Canis lupus familiaris: one gene and its partners. The protein of the gene in region 4 binds, or shares a complex with, the protein of the main gene of each other region. Links are inferred from orthologs where the notes say so. Each region holds a gene or a part of one and is shown on either strand. Other genes may lie near its edges.

Region 1 (4,256 bases), on a different chromosome or scaffold from region 4:
ACAGCTAGCTCTCAAGCAGAGGTTACTCCCAGGATAGAGCCTCCTCATTGTCACCCATTCTCCCCATCTCAGTTCTACAGCTACTCACCTGTATTCTGTGCCGCAACTGCTGAAACTTCTCTTTCACTTTAGTATTTAGTTCAGTAAGTGCACTTAATGGTCCTGAACAATCTCGAATATCCTAGGAGACAGTGAAGAGGTGAAGGGGCCTTTCTTGAGGCAAATGACATGAAATGAAACCACCTGTACAGGGGGAGTTGGCTTGAACCACCACTAGGCTGGCCTACTGTCTGTAATTCATCCTGATCTTTGCTGTTTACCTCTGCAACACGAGCAAAAACATTATCGTTTACATTTCTCTCATAACCTCTTTAATTTTGAGCAGGTACTATAATAGCATAAAAAGAAACACAACTGTCCTATTAGTTCCTAAAGTTTAACAAAATGCCACCTAGTCAGTATAAAAGGCTTAAAGCAGATCATATGTCCAACAAGAATGGACATCCAAAAGTGATACAACTTGAAAATCAGGATGCTCAATTCCTGGCATCATATGGCAAGGTTAACTTCGATCATCTATTACAAATCACAGTGTTTACAGACCTGTTCAAGGGTAGATTTAGAATTTGTTTCTGCGCCGGGACACCTGCACCCCGATGTTTATAGCAGCAATGGCCACGATAGCCAAACTGTGGAAGGAGCCTCGGTGTCCAACGAAAGATGAATGGATAAACAAGATGTGGTTTATGTATACAATGGAATATTACTCAGCTATTAGAAATGACAAATACCCACCATTTGCTTCAACGTGGATGGAACTGGAGGGTATCATGCTGAGTGAAGTAAGCCAGTCGGAGAAGGACAAACATTATATGTTCTCATTCATTTGGGGAATATAAATAATAGTGAAAGGGAATATAAGGGAAGGGGGAAGAAATGTGTGGGAAATATCAGAAAGGGAGACAGAACGTAAAGACTGCTAACTCTGGGAAACGAACTAGGGGTGTTGGAAGGGGAGGAGGGCGGGGGGTGGGAGTGAATGGGTGACGGGCACTGGGGGTTATTCTGTATGTTAGTAAATTGAACACCAATAAAAAATAAAAAAATAAAAAAATAAAAAGAATTTGTTTCTGGACATTCAAAATTACTGGGGTCAGATTTTAGAGCAGGCTCTAGAGCCAAAATATGTAGATGCAAACTCCAGCTGCAGCAATTTATTGGCTGGATAACAAAAAGTCACTCTGGTTCTCTGTGCCTCACTTTTCTCATCACATTACCTACCACATAGACCAGGTACGTATGCAAAGTATGTTGCAAAGGAGCTGGAACACAGTAAGAGCACAGTATATCTAGGTATATCATGAGAACCCCAATATCAGAGAGTACAGAAGGGCTTAAGCAATTTAGATTATGTGAAAAGGCAATCTTTTTATATGAATCCTAAATTTATTTTCTTAAAGTCAGCCCAGAAGTTTTGCAATATGTATGAATAAGTGTAGTTGAAGAAGTTTAACAGTTTGCATCAAGTTTTCTCATCTGTTTTCTGGCTTACTCATTAAATCACACTTCCTTGTACCACGATAAAGCACTACTTTGGTTTATTCTGCATCTGGTCTCCATGGAGAGTCCTACTTTCCTTCGCTTTTTGCCACAGCTAGTTGCAAAATCTGAGTCTACATCTAATGCTTAGCAACATTTTTGGAAACGGAGGAAATAACTTGCCTAAAGCCAAAGTTTAGGGGATCCCTGGGTGGCTCAGCGATTTAGCGCCTGCCTTGGGCCCAGGGAGACCCAGGCTCGAGTCCCGCGTCGGGCTCCCTGCATGGAGCCTGCTTCTCCCTCTGCCTGTGTCTCTGCCTCTCTCTCTCTCTGTCATGAATAAATAAATAAAACCTTAAAAAAAATAAAACTACTAATAAAGAGTTTAAAACTCTTGGTTTCTTTTTGCTAAATTCAAGGAACCATTTCTACTTTCCTCTTGCCTAGGCCAAGCAGTTATTGCTCTGCTGCCTTCTACCCTTAAGTGGCTCAAGGCAAGGAGTGTCCGGTACCCCATCTGTTAAACCGAGTTTCAGAGACCCCCTAAGTCCCTCGTCTAGGCCGACTTTCCCTGTCCGGTCGCAGTCTTGCCACCACCTGCCTTCTGATTCAGGCCTTGGCATTTTAGCCTTTTTCCTCATTTACAAAGTCGCAGCTACTATCTAGGTGGCCGGGGGCCTCCCGCACGACGGGGCCCTTGGTGCCCTGGGGCACCTCCGCCGGGGCGGCGGCCAGGGGAGGGCGGGGCTCGCGGCCCTCGGGGCGCCACCGAGCGCGGCGGAGGGAGGCGTGAGAAGGCGGGGCCCGTCGGGGCGACAGGTCGTCCCAGTCGACAAGTGTGCGGGGGCGACCCATGTGGCCACAGACCGGAAGCCTGGCCAGGGACGAGGGGACGCGGGAGCGTTCAGAGGAGGGCAAGACAACAGCGCGCGGAGGGAGGATCAACGCCAACGGCCCAGGAGACGGGACCAGAGGGGGCCGCCAGGGGGTAGCGGGCCGTGGGGCGGGACCAGCGACCTCCCAGACTTGAGACCGCCGAGCTCACAGGAGGCCGGTGGAGCCTGGGTTCAGGGCTACAGGGCCCGGCAGCCGTCCCGGGAATTAGTACCTGGATAAGCGCCTTCACCTCCAGGTCGAACTTGACGATCTCTTGGTTACAGATACGGACGTGGACATCTTGGGGAGCCGCCATGTTGAGGACGCCGGCTACGGGCCGCGGCGGGGCCCAAATTAAACTCGTTTTTGCGTCACCTTCGTTCCGCGTCGGGGCTTTCGGCAGCGCCCTCTAGGGACCAACCTGAGGCGAGCGAGGGTCGAGGCGAGGAGGCCGGAGGACTCGCCTCTGGTGTGGTGGTGGAAGGGAGGTGGGCGGGGGGGGACTGGGCAACACTGCTGGGGGGCACTGGATGGGATGAGCACTGGGTGGTACGCTAGATGTTGGCAAATTGAACTCCAATAAAAATAAATTAAAAAAAAAGAAAAGAAAAGAAGAAGAAGAGAGGGAGTATCGAGAGCGTTTTAACATTGGCCTCTCCCCATCTTTTACCTAAAAGGCATTCTAATGACTACATGTTTTTTGCAGAAGAGAGAGAGAGAGAAAAAAAAAAAGGAAAGTATCAATTGGGATGTCTCTGGAAGGTGGAATTAACAATTTTTTATATCTCTTTAAATTTCCTTATATTTTTCATATGTTGTACAGTGAATATAATTGTGGAGCAAATGAAAAGATGGTAAATGTTATTACTGCTTTTCACGTGTGGAATTCAAGACAGGCCTCTTCCAGCACATGGTCCAAGGGTTCTAAAATCACAACTGATCAAGTCACTTCCCCACCTCCACCTCTTTTGTAGCTCCTGGCACGTGCCTTTTGTGTACAGTTGGATTTATTAAAGCCTACCTTGCTGGAGTAGTTTTGATGGAAATAATTAAGAGCAGACCCTCAACGAACAGTGGCTCCTGCCTTTATTATCAAATAGTCCAAGGCCATCAGCCACCTCACTCCATCGCTCTCCTGGATTCCTCAAGCTGTTTTTGGATCTGTAGCTTTGGAATGTGCTGTTCCCTTTTCTTAGAATGCTTTCCCCCTCTTGCTCCCACCCCATGTGCTTCTGTTCACATCAGCAAGCATAAATTGTTAAGACCTGAATGCCTAGCTGTGTTTTTCTCTTAATCCTTCAACCAGACTTGAAATAGGTAATACCCCAGTTTTACAGATCAGTAGATGGACCAAGAGTAGATCAAAGCGAAATAAATCAAAACTGAACGTCCCTGCCCCAAAGTTACATAACTTGAAAGTGGCAGAGCCTTCACTAAAAGCCACGTCTTCCCTCAAAAACCAAATATGGCCCCTTGGGTATAGTGTCGTACACAGGGGGCTATGTGCTTGCCTATCTGTGTTTCTCCACTGCTCCACACACCATCCGTTAAGGCGTTCATCACCCCACTGCACCTAATAGGCAATGTATTGCAGGCCTTAGAGTCAACCCTGCTTGAATCCTGCTGGAGGACCCACTTCACAGCTCTGCCCCTCAGAATTCTGAGGCTAACTGGTAGAGTCACAGAGGTGGAGGATTAAATGAGGTAGTACATGAAAAGCACCAAGCACAGTGTAGTCATGTGGCATGTGTTTAAGAACTCAATGTGCATTAGCTGCTATGACATTACTGACATTTTTTGGAGCACTTCCTATGTGCCAGGCACTTTGTACTAAGTTCTTA
Region 2 (4,012 bases), on a different chromosome or scaffold from region 4:
AGGACACAGGTGTGAGCATTTCCCTGGGGAGAGAAAAAAAAAAAAACAGTGGCTGGAACTGTCTCCTTGTCTGCCAAGTTACTGAAGTTCTCTGAGGAGTGTTAATAGTTATATTCCTGATAGGGTTACTGCCGAGGGTTGACATAGCATGGATGGGAATAGTGTCTGGCAGCAGGAAATAAAAGCGATTATTTCCCAGCTGGATCCTTCTTCCCTGTGTATCTGTTTCTGTGTCCCTGACTCCTCTAACCTTTCTCCCCCTGCCAGGATGAGCCCCAAGAGGCCAAAAAGGCACCACCGGAAGACACAGAGACAGATGAACTTTGGGCCTCCTTGGAGGCAGCTGCCAAGCGGACGCTCCCTGATTCGGAGCAGACCCAAGGGGCTCTCCAAACCAGACGGAGAAAAAAGCAGCGGCCTGGGTCCACCAGCGCCTGAAGAGCCTATGCTCACTTTGTAAATAAACAGCTCAACACCCGCCATGACCCTGAGCCTTTTGTGATGGGAGAAAGGAAAGAGGGGTGGCTGCTCCCTACACTGGTGCAGTAGGATATCTGACGTCACAAAAGCCAGGCCCGGGAGCCTGGTGGGTTGGCGTGGGTGGCACGGAGTTGGGGGCCGCTCGGGGCCATGGGCTGCTGCCAAGACAAGGACTTCCAGACGGATGAGCCGGCCTCGGAGGAAGTCGAAGGTGGGACCCAAGACACACCAACGGGCCCCAGGGAACGGGAGAAGGGGTTGCTCTGACAGGACCGCCCAGGAGGTTGAACCCCGGAGGGCAAAGCAGAGCTCAGCGGCTTTATCATCTCCGCAGGCTCTGAAGAGGTCCACATGGGCCCGCCCGACCACCGGAATCAGAGGTCGAATGAAAGCCTCCTGATCACTGTGCTGTGGCGGCGGCTATCCCTGTTCAGCCGTCGGGGCTCAAGCAAGAGACAATCCGCCCAGAGTCAAAAGCAGGGATTGCAGGAGAGCAACCAGGAGGGGATCCTGGAGGAGCCGGAGAAGGGGTGACCCCAGCCCTGCTCTCAGTCTGCCCCAGCCTCCAGAGAATAAAGTTTCTAACGTGTACCTGCCCAGTACAAGCGCCCCTGCTGCCCGTTTTGCGGATGGCTTTTGGGCACCGCAGGGGCTGCGGGCTCTTTAAGGCTCCTCTGCTGAGATTGGCCCAGCCCCCTGGGCTCCGGCCCTGGCTCCTCGGGGGCGGGGTCGCGGGCGGCCTAGCCAATGGGAGGGCGGAGTCGCTCCGGCGTTTGGTGGGAGGGCGTGTCTCTCGGTCGCCGGGCTCCGAGAGGCGTAGCGCCGCCCTCCCGTCACCGGGGGTGGGGCTACGTGTGGGTGACGTGGCGGCTCCTAGTCTTTGGTCGGATTTCGGCGGATTCGGCGCTCGGGGAGGAGGCGGTGACCACCCAGGAGACTGTGGCAGTGGTGGCGGCGGCAGGCGGCAGAGAGGAGGTAGGACTCGCTCCAGAAGGGGCCTGGCTGCCGTGTCCGCTCCGGGCAGCGGCTTTCCGGGGGCGGTGACGTGAAGGGGGAAGGGAACCTGGGGCGAGCGGGCTAGTCTTGCCGGCCGGGCTCGGGGTGAGGGAATACTTCGCCGTCCAATCAGGAAAGCCCCTGTTGAGAAAGACGTCGGCATTAGCCAATCACTGGTTGCAGTCCCCCAGGAGGCGGGACTTGGGCGGGGGAGGAACTTCCTGTTTCAAATAAACACCCAGAGATTTCCCCCCCCTCCGCCTACCGAAGTGTGTCCCCCTCAGGAGGCCGGTCACCGTTTCTCCCTGAGGAGTCGAAGGGATCTGCGGATACGAGAGGGCCCGGTTAGGACCTAGGGCAGTTGCACAGGGCGGGCTGGAGCCTCGGGGCCCCGGGACCTGCCTCTGGCCCCGTCTCGGCTTCAAGGCCCCCGGCCCCGCGCTCTGGCCGCCCGAGCCAAGTTGGAAGAGTCTGAGGAGCTGGACCGGCTGGGCCAGAGAGCGGGGCCCTGCCCGCCGCCGTGGGCCGGGCCCAGAATTTGCGGGTGGCTTTTGGGCGCGAAAGTCCGTGCCAAGTGCAGAAGGGGCCCAAGGATTTGCGGTGGGGACGGGGGATTTGTGGGGAAGGAGGCCACCTGGGGAATGACACTCTGCCCTCCACAACAGTCCGAGGTTATGCGTCTCAATGATCCCGCGGAAACGCTACGGGTCTAAGAACACGGATCAGGGTGTCTACCTGGGTCTCTCAAAGACACAGGTCCTGTCCCCTGCAACTGCTGGCAGTAGCAGCAGCGACATCGCCCCTCTGCCCCCCCCAGTGGCCCTGGTCCCTCCCCCTCCCAACACCATGTCCTGCCGAGATCGGACCCAGGAGTTCCTGTCTGCCTGCAAGTCCCTGCAGAGCCGTCAGGTAAGGACCAGGAGTGGGAAAGGCAGGAGTGAGCCTTACTGAAATCTAGGAGAGGCTGTGCTCCAGCACTGTTGATTGACATGATGGAGAACTGATCTGGCTTAGAGGGGGCAGTAGGATCTACTAAGCAACAGAAAAGGGGTGGATCAGCTGTCTAGGAGCAAGGACTTACGCTGTTTTGTGAGAAATTACCCCAGAGGGTAGCCTTGCTACTCTGGAAGGAGTATCTCAGGATGAAAGGTGGCTGCGGTATATTTGATTTGGATAAGAAAGAGGTTCTAGAGAGAGCCTTTAGCTCAGAGACAGACACTTTGAATTCTAGTTCTGGAATAGTCCCATCATAAGTTTGCTCTGTGGCCACAGGGAAGTTAGTCTAGTTGGGCCTCAGGGTTTTTTGGGTGTGTGGGGTTTTGTTTGTTTGTTTGTTTTAAAGTAGGCTCCTGTCCAGTGCCGAGCCCAACACAAGGCTTGAACTCCTGACCTGGAGATCAAGACTGGAACTGAGAGCAGGAGTCAGAGGCTTAGCCAACTGAGCCACCAGGCACCCCTGGGCCTCGGTTTTTATATCTATAGAATGAAAAGAGCTTTCTCAATAAGTAATTTTTATCAAAATTACTTTAGAGTGCTTTTTTTTTTTTTTAATTAGATTCCCTTTTTTCAGTCCAGACGTCCTAATCAAAGTGGGACCTGAGTGACTTTAGATAATAGATAATTACTTTAGTAATTTTAGATATTTTTATTGCTCAGCACTTAACAGCCGCTCTTCCGTATGATCTCCAAGAGCTTTCTAGTTATCCTCTTTGATTTCCTGATTGGAGGAATAGAATGGCAATAGTGCTTATCACTTATTTAGGGCTTACAACGTATGGGGTATCTGACTAAAATACTCTATAGTCCTATGTTGTGTGATCTTACCAACAAGAATAGGTGTGTGGATTTTCTTCATCTTATACAAAAGGAAAAGAGATTCAGAATGGTTTAAGGCACTTACCCCAAACCTCCCAGCTGATAAATGGTGGAGTCAAGATTTGAACCTTGGTCTACCCATGTTCAAATCTGAGTTCTAAATGACTGCTACTGATAAGATTAGACTACCTGGTGAGGGTACTAGAGATAATTGAGTTGGACGCTTGAGGAACAGTGGCAGCTGGAAGTGAGGGGGCACTAAACCTTTACCTCTTCATGTTGCATTTCAGAATGGAATCCAGACAAATAAGCCAGCTCTGCGTGCTGTCCGGCAGCGTAGCGAATTTACCCTCATGGCCAAGTAAGTTGAGAGAAGTTATGTTGTGGGATGATGCAGAGTTTGGAGAGGCGTAGGCTTGCCTTCAGTGCCCTTGGTATGAGGGAGGAAGGGCTGCATTGGTTAAGCTGGCGCTAATGGGGGAATAGGCCCTGTCCTTCCCATCCCTGTGGTGCCCTCACTAATGCTCATTTCCAGGCGCATTGGGAAAGACCTCAGCAACACATTTGCCAAGCTGGAGAAGCTGACAATCTGTGAGTGTTCTTGGGGTCTTTCAGAGATGGGGCAGTGAACCAGAGAGGGCTGAGGAACCATACTCCCTGAGCCTTGTCTTTGACCTCCCACGTTGTGGCCTCATTGTCTCTGCAGTGGCAAAGCGCAAGT
Region 3 (4,184 bases), on a different chromosome or scaffold from region 4:
CGCGCCGCCCGCCGCCCGCCGCCCGCAGCCCGCAGGCCCGGGTCCGCACACGCGAGCCCCGCCCGGCCCACCTCTTCCGTGCAAGCACGTTCACGGCTCGCGCTCACCTCCCGGTTGTACGTGCGCAGAGCCTCCATGATCACGTCCTCCTCGCCCGCTTCCACGGCATCCGCAACCACCCGGGGATCCATGGCGCCTCCGGGATCCCGCGCCGAGCCGGCGGGAAGGGGAGCTGCTTCCCGGCTCCGGGCGGAGTTCCGCCGCTCCGCCCCGACTGGGCGCGCGGGGCAGGCCGGGACTGGGAGCGCGCGGGGCGGGGCGGGGCGGGGCGGGGCCAGGGCTGCGCGCGGGGCAGGCCGGGACTGGGAGCGCGCGGGGCGGGGCCAGGGCTGCGCGCGCGGCATGCCGGGACTGGGAGCGCGCGCCGCGGGGCGGGGCCAGGGCTGTAGGTTCATTAAGGGGGCGAGACCTGGATCAGCTGGCTGGGACTTGAGTGTTTTGCCGGGGAGTGAGCGCGAGTTTCAAAGGTCCTACTAGGTGATTTTTCGACCTCGGAGCTGAGCGGCCTCCGAAGCTAACGGGGACCCACTCACCTTCCCACGCACGCCCCCCTAGATGCCTAGCACCAGTGCAAGTCCGGGGGAAAAGCGAAGTGGGAAGGACTTTGCGGCCCCGGGACCCGCCGACCGCTGGTTCCCGGCCCTCTGGGAGCGTGAGCTCGCACGTGAGGGCAAGGAGCCACGGGCAGCGGTCTCAGCGCTGTGGCGAATAAAGTGGGCTGCAAAGGGATGTGCGGAAGTAGCATTTCTGCTGAGGCCGGACGATAAGAAGGGATCCGGGGGAAGGTCGTTCGGTGGCCGCGGCGGGGACGCAAACATGTCCCTGAGCTCCAGGGGAGGGCGGGGAGGGTCAGGATCACCGGCAGCCACGTCCCAGGTGTGTGGCCTGGACTGAGCTCCCTCTCCCGTGTGTGTGGTCGCAGCGGTGCCCGCCGTGCAGCCAGCCTTTGTGGGCCGCCTCCGTTCCCGCGGCGCCGGGACCAAGGCAAGAGGCACCGGCCGCTACGGCCTCTGCTGCCCCCACACTCCCGGCCCCCGTCTGGCTTCGCTTCCCTTCGGAGTGCGTCACCCTTGCGTCTTCCAGGCCCTGGCCTCCACCGCGTCCCCTCGGCAACGCCTGGGGCGGGGACCCGCGGCGACCCCAGCAGCCAGGCCCGCGGGGGAAAGCGGGGACGCCCGGAGCGGGACCCGGCCCCGCCCTCCGCGCCATTGGCCGCTGGCGGCGTCTGTCACGCGTCCTCGGCACTTAAGGCCCGCCCCCCTAGTCCGGAAGTCGGCCGGACGTCGGCCGGAAGTCGGCGGGCAGAGCGGAAGCGGCGGGGTCCCGGTCCTCCCCGGTTGCGCCACGTCCGCTGAGGCGGTGGCTGGGCCGCTGGCGGGGCGGGGCCGGGGACGGGGCCGGGGGCGGGCGCCATGGCGGACTGGGCGCGGGGTGAGCGGCGGGTTGGGGTCGGGGGGCCGCGGCTGCTCCGCCCGGGGCCTCCGGCGGGCGGGCCCCTCGCGTGCCCCAGAGCCCCTGGTCTCCCCGGGAGGGGCGGCAGGAGCCGAGGGCGGGCGGCGGGACGCTGACAGCCCGCCTCGGCCTTCGTGCGCACCCGGGCCCGCCATCGGGGCGTCCGGCCCGCCGCACGTCCGCGCCCCGAGCCCGGGCGGTGGCCGACGGTCGGGGTCGCCCCGGGCCGCGCGGGGTGCGGGGGCCTCGGGCCTGCGCTGCTCAGCCTTGGCTGCCGGCCGACCTGCGGGGCCGCCGCGCCCGCGCCAGTGCTGCTCCGAGCGGCCCCGCCGGGTGACTGCCTCCCAGCGCGGGCCCACCCCCGGGCGCCGTCCTCCGCGGGCTGTCCGCGCTCGCGCCCCGGCCCCGGCCGCGGCCCCTGGCTTGTCCGCAGGACGGAGGGAGCCCCGGGGCAGCGCGGGGGCCGAGCAGGGGCCGCGGCCCCCCTCACCGGGGCCTCCGCGCCTGCGGTCCTAGGCTCAGACTGTCCCTTCTCGCAGCCCAGAGCCCCGCGGCCGTGGAGGAGATTCTAGACCGGGAGAACAAGCGGATGGCCGACAGCTTGGCCTCCAAGGTCACCAGGCTTAAGTCGGTCAGTGCGGTCCTCCCTGCGAGCGGGGACAGGAGGGCAGAGGCTGGGGAGGGTCCCGGGCTTCCTCGGGGCGCTGGTGTCTGAGGCCCGGGGAGGCCCGGCCTGATCCCGCCGGCGGGTGTTGGCGGGTCCGCTGGCCTCGCGGGCGGGACCCACCGAGTCTTTCTGGCCTGACCTTGCCCCCCGCCCCGCGTTCTGAGCAGCTGGCCCTGGACATCGACAGGGACGCAGAAGACCAGAACCGGTACCTGGACAGCATGGTAAGGGGCTCCGTCGGCGCGGGGCGCGGGCCGCTCGGGCAGGCCCTGGTGGCGCTGCGGCACCTGCGTGGCAGTCGTGGAGGCGCCGCCCTGTGTGACCTTGCTGGGATTCCTCCCTCAGGACTCGGATTTCACTAGCATGACAGGCCTGCTCACGGGGAGCGTGAAGCGCTTTTCCACCATGGCGAGGTCCGGGCGAGACAACCGGAAGCTTCTGTGTGGCATGGCCCTGGGCCTGATCGTGGTCTTCTTCATCCTCTCCTACCTTCTGTCAAGGGCAAGGACGTGAGCCACCAGAAGCCGACTTCTGTGGGTGCAGGGGCAACCAGGGTCTTCCCCCGCCTGGTGGCCTAGGCTCCTGAGGACCTACCTGCAAAATACTCCTTTGAAAGGGGGATCCCGGCCTGGGAGTTTTCTTGCTGTGTGCCTGGGAGTTGACGGCTGCCTGCGCCCAAGTGAGCTCCTGTTGGCTGGTCCCATGCAGTGCAGCTCCTTCCCTTGGGGACACCAAGCCCCAGCCCCTGTGCTACTCGGGGTGTGGAGGCCCTGGCAGAGCTGGGTGTGAATCCTCGACGTGGCCACCTGTGGCCAGCAGCCCTTCCTTGTCCCCTGGGGCTTCGACGTCTTGAGGCTTTGGGTAAGGTCACGTCCGATACGTGAGCAGCCTGGAGCTGACACAGGAAGGGGGTTCGGTTATGAACTTTGAGCACCATCTGCTCTGTTCAGAGGAGCAGCTACTCGGTAGGGCTGCTGAACATGGGCAGGTCTGCGCCAGGGGTTCCGCCCCGAGGTCACGTCTGCCCCCCAGACCCTCGGAGAAGGGCAGGGGGTTGTGGATGAAGAAGTGGACTTCAACCTTGGCCAGAGGCACTGGGCCCTGATCCTTCTGGATCCACAGTCTTGTATTCAGGAGCAGGAACTCAGGATCTACCTAACACCAAAGACGTATTTCTGGGAGACCAGAGATGGGAGCTCTAGAAGGGTTTCTGTCTGTGTGTTTGGGGTGGGGGTGCAGCACCTCTGTGGTCAAGACGAGAGGGCTCCCTAACAAGTTTTATAAGACCCAGGGGTCACCGGGCAGCTTCCCCTCCACCATGTGAGGCCTTTCAGCAGTGAGTATTCCCTGAATAAGGGGACTCTTCATCATTGCCTCATCCCTGGCCTCTCTTTGAGCCCTCACTGCCCGCTTGGCCAGCCCCATGTTCACACAAACCACAAAGTGCAGGCCCAGCTGGGCGTCCGCACCCTCGTATGTGCATGAAGACACATAAGAAATGATTTGCTAGCTGTGTCCTCCCCGGTTCCTTCCCCTATATTCCGATCCTCTGCCAGCCCAGTCGCTCCCCCTTCCTCCCAGAGGACAACTTGGTTTGCTGTCCGCCCATTCCCCCCCTCATCCCGTGGGTGATCACACGTGCGCCGACCACACATCAGCTCCGTTCTCTGGCCCTGGGCGCCTCCCCTTCAGCACTGCCGCTGCTCTGTGTTCTCCTTGCCTCCCTCCCCTCTCTTGCCCTTGTCCCTGCAGCAAGTTTGGCACGTGGTCATCATAGCTTCCTTATCTCCTGCACAGCAGCTATTGGGCTGCTCGGCCTCATCTTCTGAGTGCCCTTAGCCTCCAGATGCTAGTTGCTCATCCAGGGAGGTCAGCTGGCCTCCCTGCCTGTGGAGCTTTGCTGTGTCCCTGACTCGACGTTCCCTCTCGGGCCCTGTGGTCTTTCCTCCGCAGTCGCCACGTACACACCGTGGATCTGAGTTAGCTCTCTGGTGGTCTCCTGCTA
Region 4 (4,179 bases):
TCCTACAGATGGGATACTGAGGCCCAGAGACAAAGACATGACTTTCCAGAAATCCATAGCAACTCAATCACAGAGTTGATCACAATACAGATTTCCTTACCAGGACATACTAGAGAGGGGCCAGTCTTTCTTTTGCTTGAACCTTCATGTAAGTTCTCTGGAAAGAGTCCTGGGATCCAGGAGACCTGATTTTTATTCTGGCTATGCTGAGACTCACTTTGTGGCCTTGGAGACTGCTCTCACATAATGTAAGTTTCACAAGTGAAAGGTTTTTGTCAGTTAGGCCTTGATTTATCTCCGACCCCTACAACAGTCTCTGGCCATAATAAGTGCCCAATAAATGGATATCCATTGAATGAATGACCATCTAGTGGGCTAGGGCAGTGTCACCGTGAGAGGCTGAAGCCCAAAAGACAAGCTTTATCTTCAGATACATGAAAGGTTAAAGTTCTGTCCACAGATATTTATTGAGGGCCCATATGTGATAGGTACTGAAATAGGCCCTGGGGATTCAGGTAAGAACAAGACTGCGGCGCCCTGACCTCAAGAGCCCACGGTCCACTATAATGGGGAATGTGTGCAGATTTTTTTGCGGGCTTCAGAGGGTAGACCCAGATGCTAGGGAGGGAGGGAGTTAGATGTTAAGTGGCAGACTCCTCAATGTAATACAGACACTTTTCTCAGCTTTAGTTGCCCTGAAATGGTCTTATGCTCGGAAGGTGGTGAGTGCGGCGGAACTGCAGTGTTCATGCAGGGCGCCAGCCGCCCACCTGTCAGAGGCTGCGCCAGGAGGATGCGGGAGGAGAGATTTCTGCCTTGGGTGAGGTCACTTTCCACCCCCAGATTCTCTGCCTACAAAACCCTGCAATTCTCTGACGCTGGATCTTATTATTTTCTGAATCTCAAGGTCCCATGATGCTGACAGCCCCGAATTCTAAGTTCTCCGTCTGCCCACGTCCCTGGACCCAAAAGAAAATGAAGCCGAATTCAGCGAGGGTCCTACCACCCACTGCCTCAAACGGTCTCTGGGGGTAGTCAGCAGCCCCCGCCCCGCCTCGCGAAGGCTGGAGGGGCGTAGCTTGGGCGCCAGGGTCCCGGAGACGTCGTGGGGAGAAAGGTGCTCCAGAGACGGAGTTGACAGCGCCGGGGCACGTGACAATCAAAGTGTCACGTTCCGAGGTCCGCGAGGGTGGGACCGGGCTGGTCATGTGACGTGGGGGGGGCACCATGGGGTGATGTGAGATGCAGGGCCTCTGAGATTACGTATCAATGACGCACTCCCACCCGGTCTGGCAACTAGATTTCCGTTGGTAGATGCGACAGTTCCGGCGAAGGGGGCGGGTTCTCACGTCCTGGCAGCTTTGCTTCCGTTCGGGGCGCCGCAGCTTCCGACCTCAGGCTCCCTCCGGCGAGGAAGAGACGCGACCCCGTGCGCATGCCCCGATCATCCCAGAGGGGCGGGGCCGAGGCTACGGGGACGGGAGGGGGGGAAGAAAAGGGAATTCCAACCTGTGGAATCTTGGGGGGTCCCCGGGGTCGGCTGCTTCCCACTGACTGTGGATGGTGCCCGGGACGGAGCCTCTGGTGGCTCGTGGGGGGGCCCGGGGGTCCGCAGGGTGAGGGCGGAGGGAAGTGTCAGTGTCAGAGTGTGAGTGGGGTACGGGAGTTCCAAACTTAGTCTCGAGGCCCTCGGGGCTCCGGCGCCGGGAAGAGGGAGCTCGGGCCGCCATGCGCGACCGGACCCACGAACTGAGACAGGTGAGAGGGGGCTGCAGGGCTGGGGGTGGGCGGACGGGCTGGGGTCTGGCTGGCATACAGGACTCCCGGTCTTCGGGACAGGGAGGGGTGGCTGAGGGCTAGGAAGGAAAGACCCGGAAGTCTGTGAGTCCTGCGGGGAGAGAGCAACCGCAGGGAAGTGATGCCAGTGACCACCCCGGCCGTGGCAGGGGGATGACAGTTCGGACGATGAGGACAAGGAGCGGGTCGCGCTGGTGGTACACCCGGGCACGGCACGGCTGGGGAGCCCGGACGAGGAGTTCTTCCAAAAGGTAAGAGGCTGGGGTCTCCGCCTGTCTTCATGAGGGGGCTGGATGATCCGAGGAGCAGCGCGGTCCGGAGTATCCCCCATCTCCCTCAGCCCTCTCGGTCACCTTCCCCAGGTCCGGACAATTCGACAGACTATTGTCAAGCTGGAGAATAAAGTCCGGGAGTTGGAGAAGCAGCAGGTCACCATCCTGGCCACGCCCCTTCCCGAGGAGAGTGAGTGAAACCCCAAGTGCAAACGCATGCTCAGCCAGAGGGATTGTGGGGATTGTAGTTCCGTGCAGGTGGTGGCCAGGCAGGTTGGTTTGAGGTAGGAGCCGCTGTCTGGGAGTCATGGCTTTCTCTTCTTCAGGTATGAAGCAGGACCTGCAGAACCTGCGTGAGGAGATCAAACAGCTGGGGAGGGAGATCCGAGCACAGCTGAAGGGTGAGCCCCTAGGACCTCAGACAGACCCTTCCCTGTGGTCCTGCCCAGCTCCTGGTATATCTGGGGACTGTGTGGCTCAGTATTGCAAAGAAAAATACACTTGAGCTACCGTCAGAGGCTCATAATTAGTCATTTATGATAAAATATAATTCCCAAAATAATTCTGTGGAGATAAGCACCTCTCTATTGTATGGATGGGGTATGGCCCTGGCCCTGTGTCCTGGTTCCCACATGATTTTCTGAAGCCACACAGATCAAATCTCCTTCCCCACCAATCCCCTTGTGTCTTCCCACAGCCATAGAGCCCCAGAATGAAGAAGCTGATGAGAATTATAACTCAGTCAACACGAGGATGAGAAAAACCCAGGTGGGTTTATTATTCCCAGAACTAAGACATTTTGCAGGGTTTCATAGACCATTAGGTGGCAAAAGTAAGGGGAAAGGGCCCTTAGAGATCATCAAGTCCAACCTAATGATTTTCAAGTGGGGAAACTGAGGCTGAGAGAAAAAAAATCTCACCCAAAGTCTCCTGACTCCCAATCCACCTAACATCCTGTCGCCTTCTCCATTCATGAGAAGTTGCTGAATCCCCAGATGTGATCTGGGCTTGGTTGTGGAAGGCATGCTTTCTAGAAACCAACATGGTGAGTCAAGCTTGACTAGATGACAAAGACATTACTCAGGTAGGGTGTGGTAGCTAATAACCCCGCCCAGGGAAGAAGAGGGAAAGGTCATAAATGACAGGGAGCTTTCCTGCCCATATGACAGGGTCATCCTCTGCCCCATGGGCAGAATTCAAGAAATCAAGAAGAGGAACTTCCCTGGAGGGAGAAGGTCACTGAATCAACATCTTAGTGAGGAGATTTGAGGCGATCTAACTGCCCTTGTCTGGGTGCCCAGGGAGGAGTAATTTGGAGTTCCTGGAGGTCAGAGTTGGTGTAGGTGGGCCCAGAAAGTACCCTGGATTGAAGATAGGGCAGTTTGGGTATCTTACAATGATGTGGTGAAGGCAGGAGAGCAAATATGTCTCTAAGGAAGGAACTCCAAGGAATGAGCACATTGAAGGAAGCAAGAGAATGGACAAGATAAGAGGATGTTTCAGGGGGAAACTGTGGTAGTCATTGGTGTGAGAGGCTGAGGGTCCAGCCGGACCTGTAAGAGCTGGGCAATGGGCTGACCTCCAGGCATACCTTTAGTCTAAGCTGCAAGGCTGGTGTTCAGCAAGCATTCAAAGGTATTTATTGAGTGCCTACTGTGTGCTAGGCCCTTTTCTAGCTGTTTAGGATGCAGCAGTGAACCAAAGAGCCCAATCTTCATGGAACTTATGTTCTGGTGGGGCGAGACACACACCATAATAAATATGCCCACTATTTTAGAACGTAGGGTTTTTTTTAATTTATTTATTCATAAGAGACAGAGAGAGAAAGGCAGAAACACAGGCAGAGGGAGAAGCAGGCTCCATGCAGGGAGCCCAACATGGGACTCGATCCCAGGTCCCCAGGATCACACCCTGGGCCAAAGGCGGCGCCAAACCACTGAGCCACCCGGGCTGCCCAGACGGTAGTTAAGTATTAAGGGAAAAACTGAGGAGAAGAGGATTGAGAGTGACGGGAGAAGGCAGGTTGCAGTTTTAATAAGGTAGAGAAAACTTCATTCAGAAGGTGACATTGGAATAAAGATTTAAAGGCCTCTGTGAATAAATAAATAAA

Evidence for each region. Proteins that work in one complex are often made in the same cells at the same time.
Region 1: STX4 (region 4) and BNIP1 share a complex: the UniProt entries of both Homo sapiens proteins name them as parts of the SNARE complex. The link is inferred for Canis lupus familiaris from reciprocal best matches to the Homo sapiens genes STX4 and BNIP1.
Region 2: STX4 (region 4) and STX5 share a complex: the UniProt entries of both Homo sapiens proteins name them as parts of the SNARE complex. The link is inferred for Canis lupus familiaris from reciprocal best matches to the Homo sapiens genes STX4 and STX5.
Region 3: STX4 (region 4) and BET1L share a complex: the UniProt entries of both Homo sapiens proteins name them as parts of the SNARE complex. The link is inferred for Canis lupus familiaris from reciprocal best matches to the Homo sapiens genes STX4 and BET1L.

Annotation. Positions count from the first base shown.
Region 1 is NC_049225.1:40,187,212-40,191,467, forward strand, and holds the start of BNIP1 (vesicle transport protein SEC20), read right to left. Parts: upstream 2,801-4,256; 5' UTR 2,732-2,800; coding exon 2,648-2,731; intron 182-2,647; coding exon 89-181; intron 1-88. UniProt on the Homo sapiens protein: As part of a SNARE complex may be involved in endoplasmic reticulum membranes fusion and be required for the maintenance of endoplasmic reticulum organization. Also plays a role in apoptosis.
Region 2 is NC_049239.1:54,381,025-54,385,036, forward strand, and holds the start of STX5 (syntaxin-5), read left to right. Parts: upstream 1-1,212; 5' UTR 1,213-1,227; coding exon 1,228-1,455; intron 1,456-1,665; exon of another isoform or gene 1,666-1,820; intron 1,821-2,141; exon of another isoform or gene 2,142-2,160; coding exon of another isoform or gene 2,161-2,385; intron 2,386-3,581; coding exon 3,582-3,652; intron 3,653-3,826; coding exon 3,827-3,882; intron 3,883-3,997; coding exon 3,998-4,012. Other genes in the region: WDR74 (WD repeat-containing protein 74), read left to right, coding at 268-438; testis-expressed protein 54-like, read left to right, coding at 631-691, 815-1,014. UniProt on the Homo sapiens protein: Mediates endoplasmic reticulum to Golgi transport.
Region 3 is NC_049239.1:25,711,331-25,715,514, reverse strand, and holds the start of BET1L (BET1-like protein), read left to right. Parts: upstream 1-1,384; 5' UTR 1,385-1,472; coding exon 1,473-1,491; intron 1,492-2,051; coding exon 2,052-2,143; intron 2,144-2,346; coding exon 2,347-2,403; intron 2,404-2,524; coding exon 2,525-2,692; 3' UTR 2,693-4,184. Other genes in the region: RIC8A (synembryn-A), read right to left, coding at 108-191. UniProt on the Homo sapiens protein: Vesicle SNARE required for targeting and fusion of retrograde transport vesicles with the Golgi complex. Required for the integrity of the Golgi complex.
Region 4 is NC_049227.1:17,349,086-17,353,264, reverse strand, and holds the start of STX4 (syntaxin-4), read left to right. Parts: upstream 1-1,379; 5' UTR 1,380-1,728; coding exon 1,729-1,758; intron 1,759-1,946; coding exon 1,947-2,048; intron 2,049-2,159; coding exon 2,160-2,259; intron 2,260-2,395; coding exon 2,396-2,470; intron 2,471-2,766; coding exon 2,767-2,837; intron 2,838-4,179. UniProt on the Homo sapiens protein: Plasma membrane t-SNARE that mediates docking of transport vesicles. Necessary for the translocation of SLC2A4 from intracellular vesicles to the plasma membrane.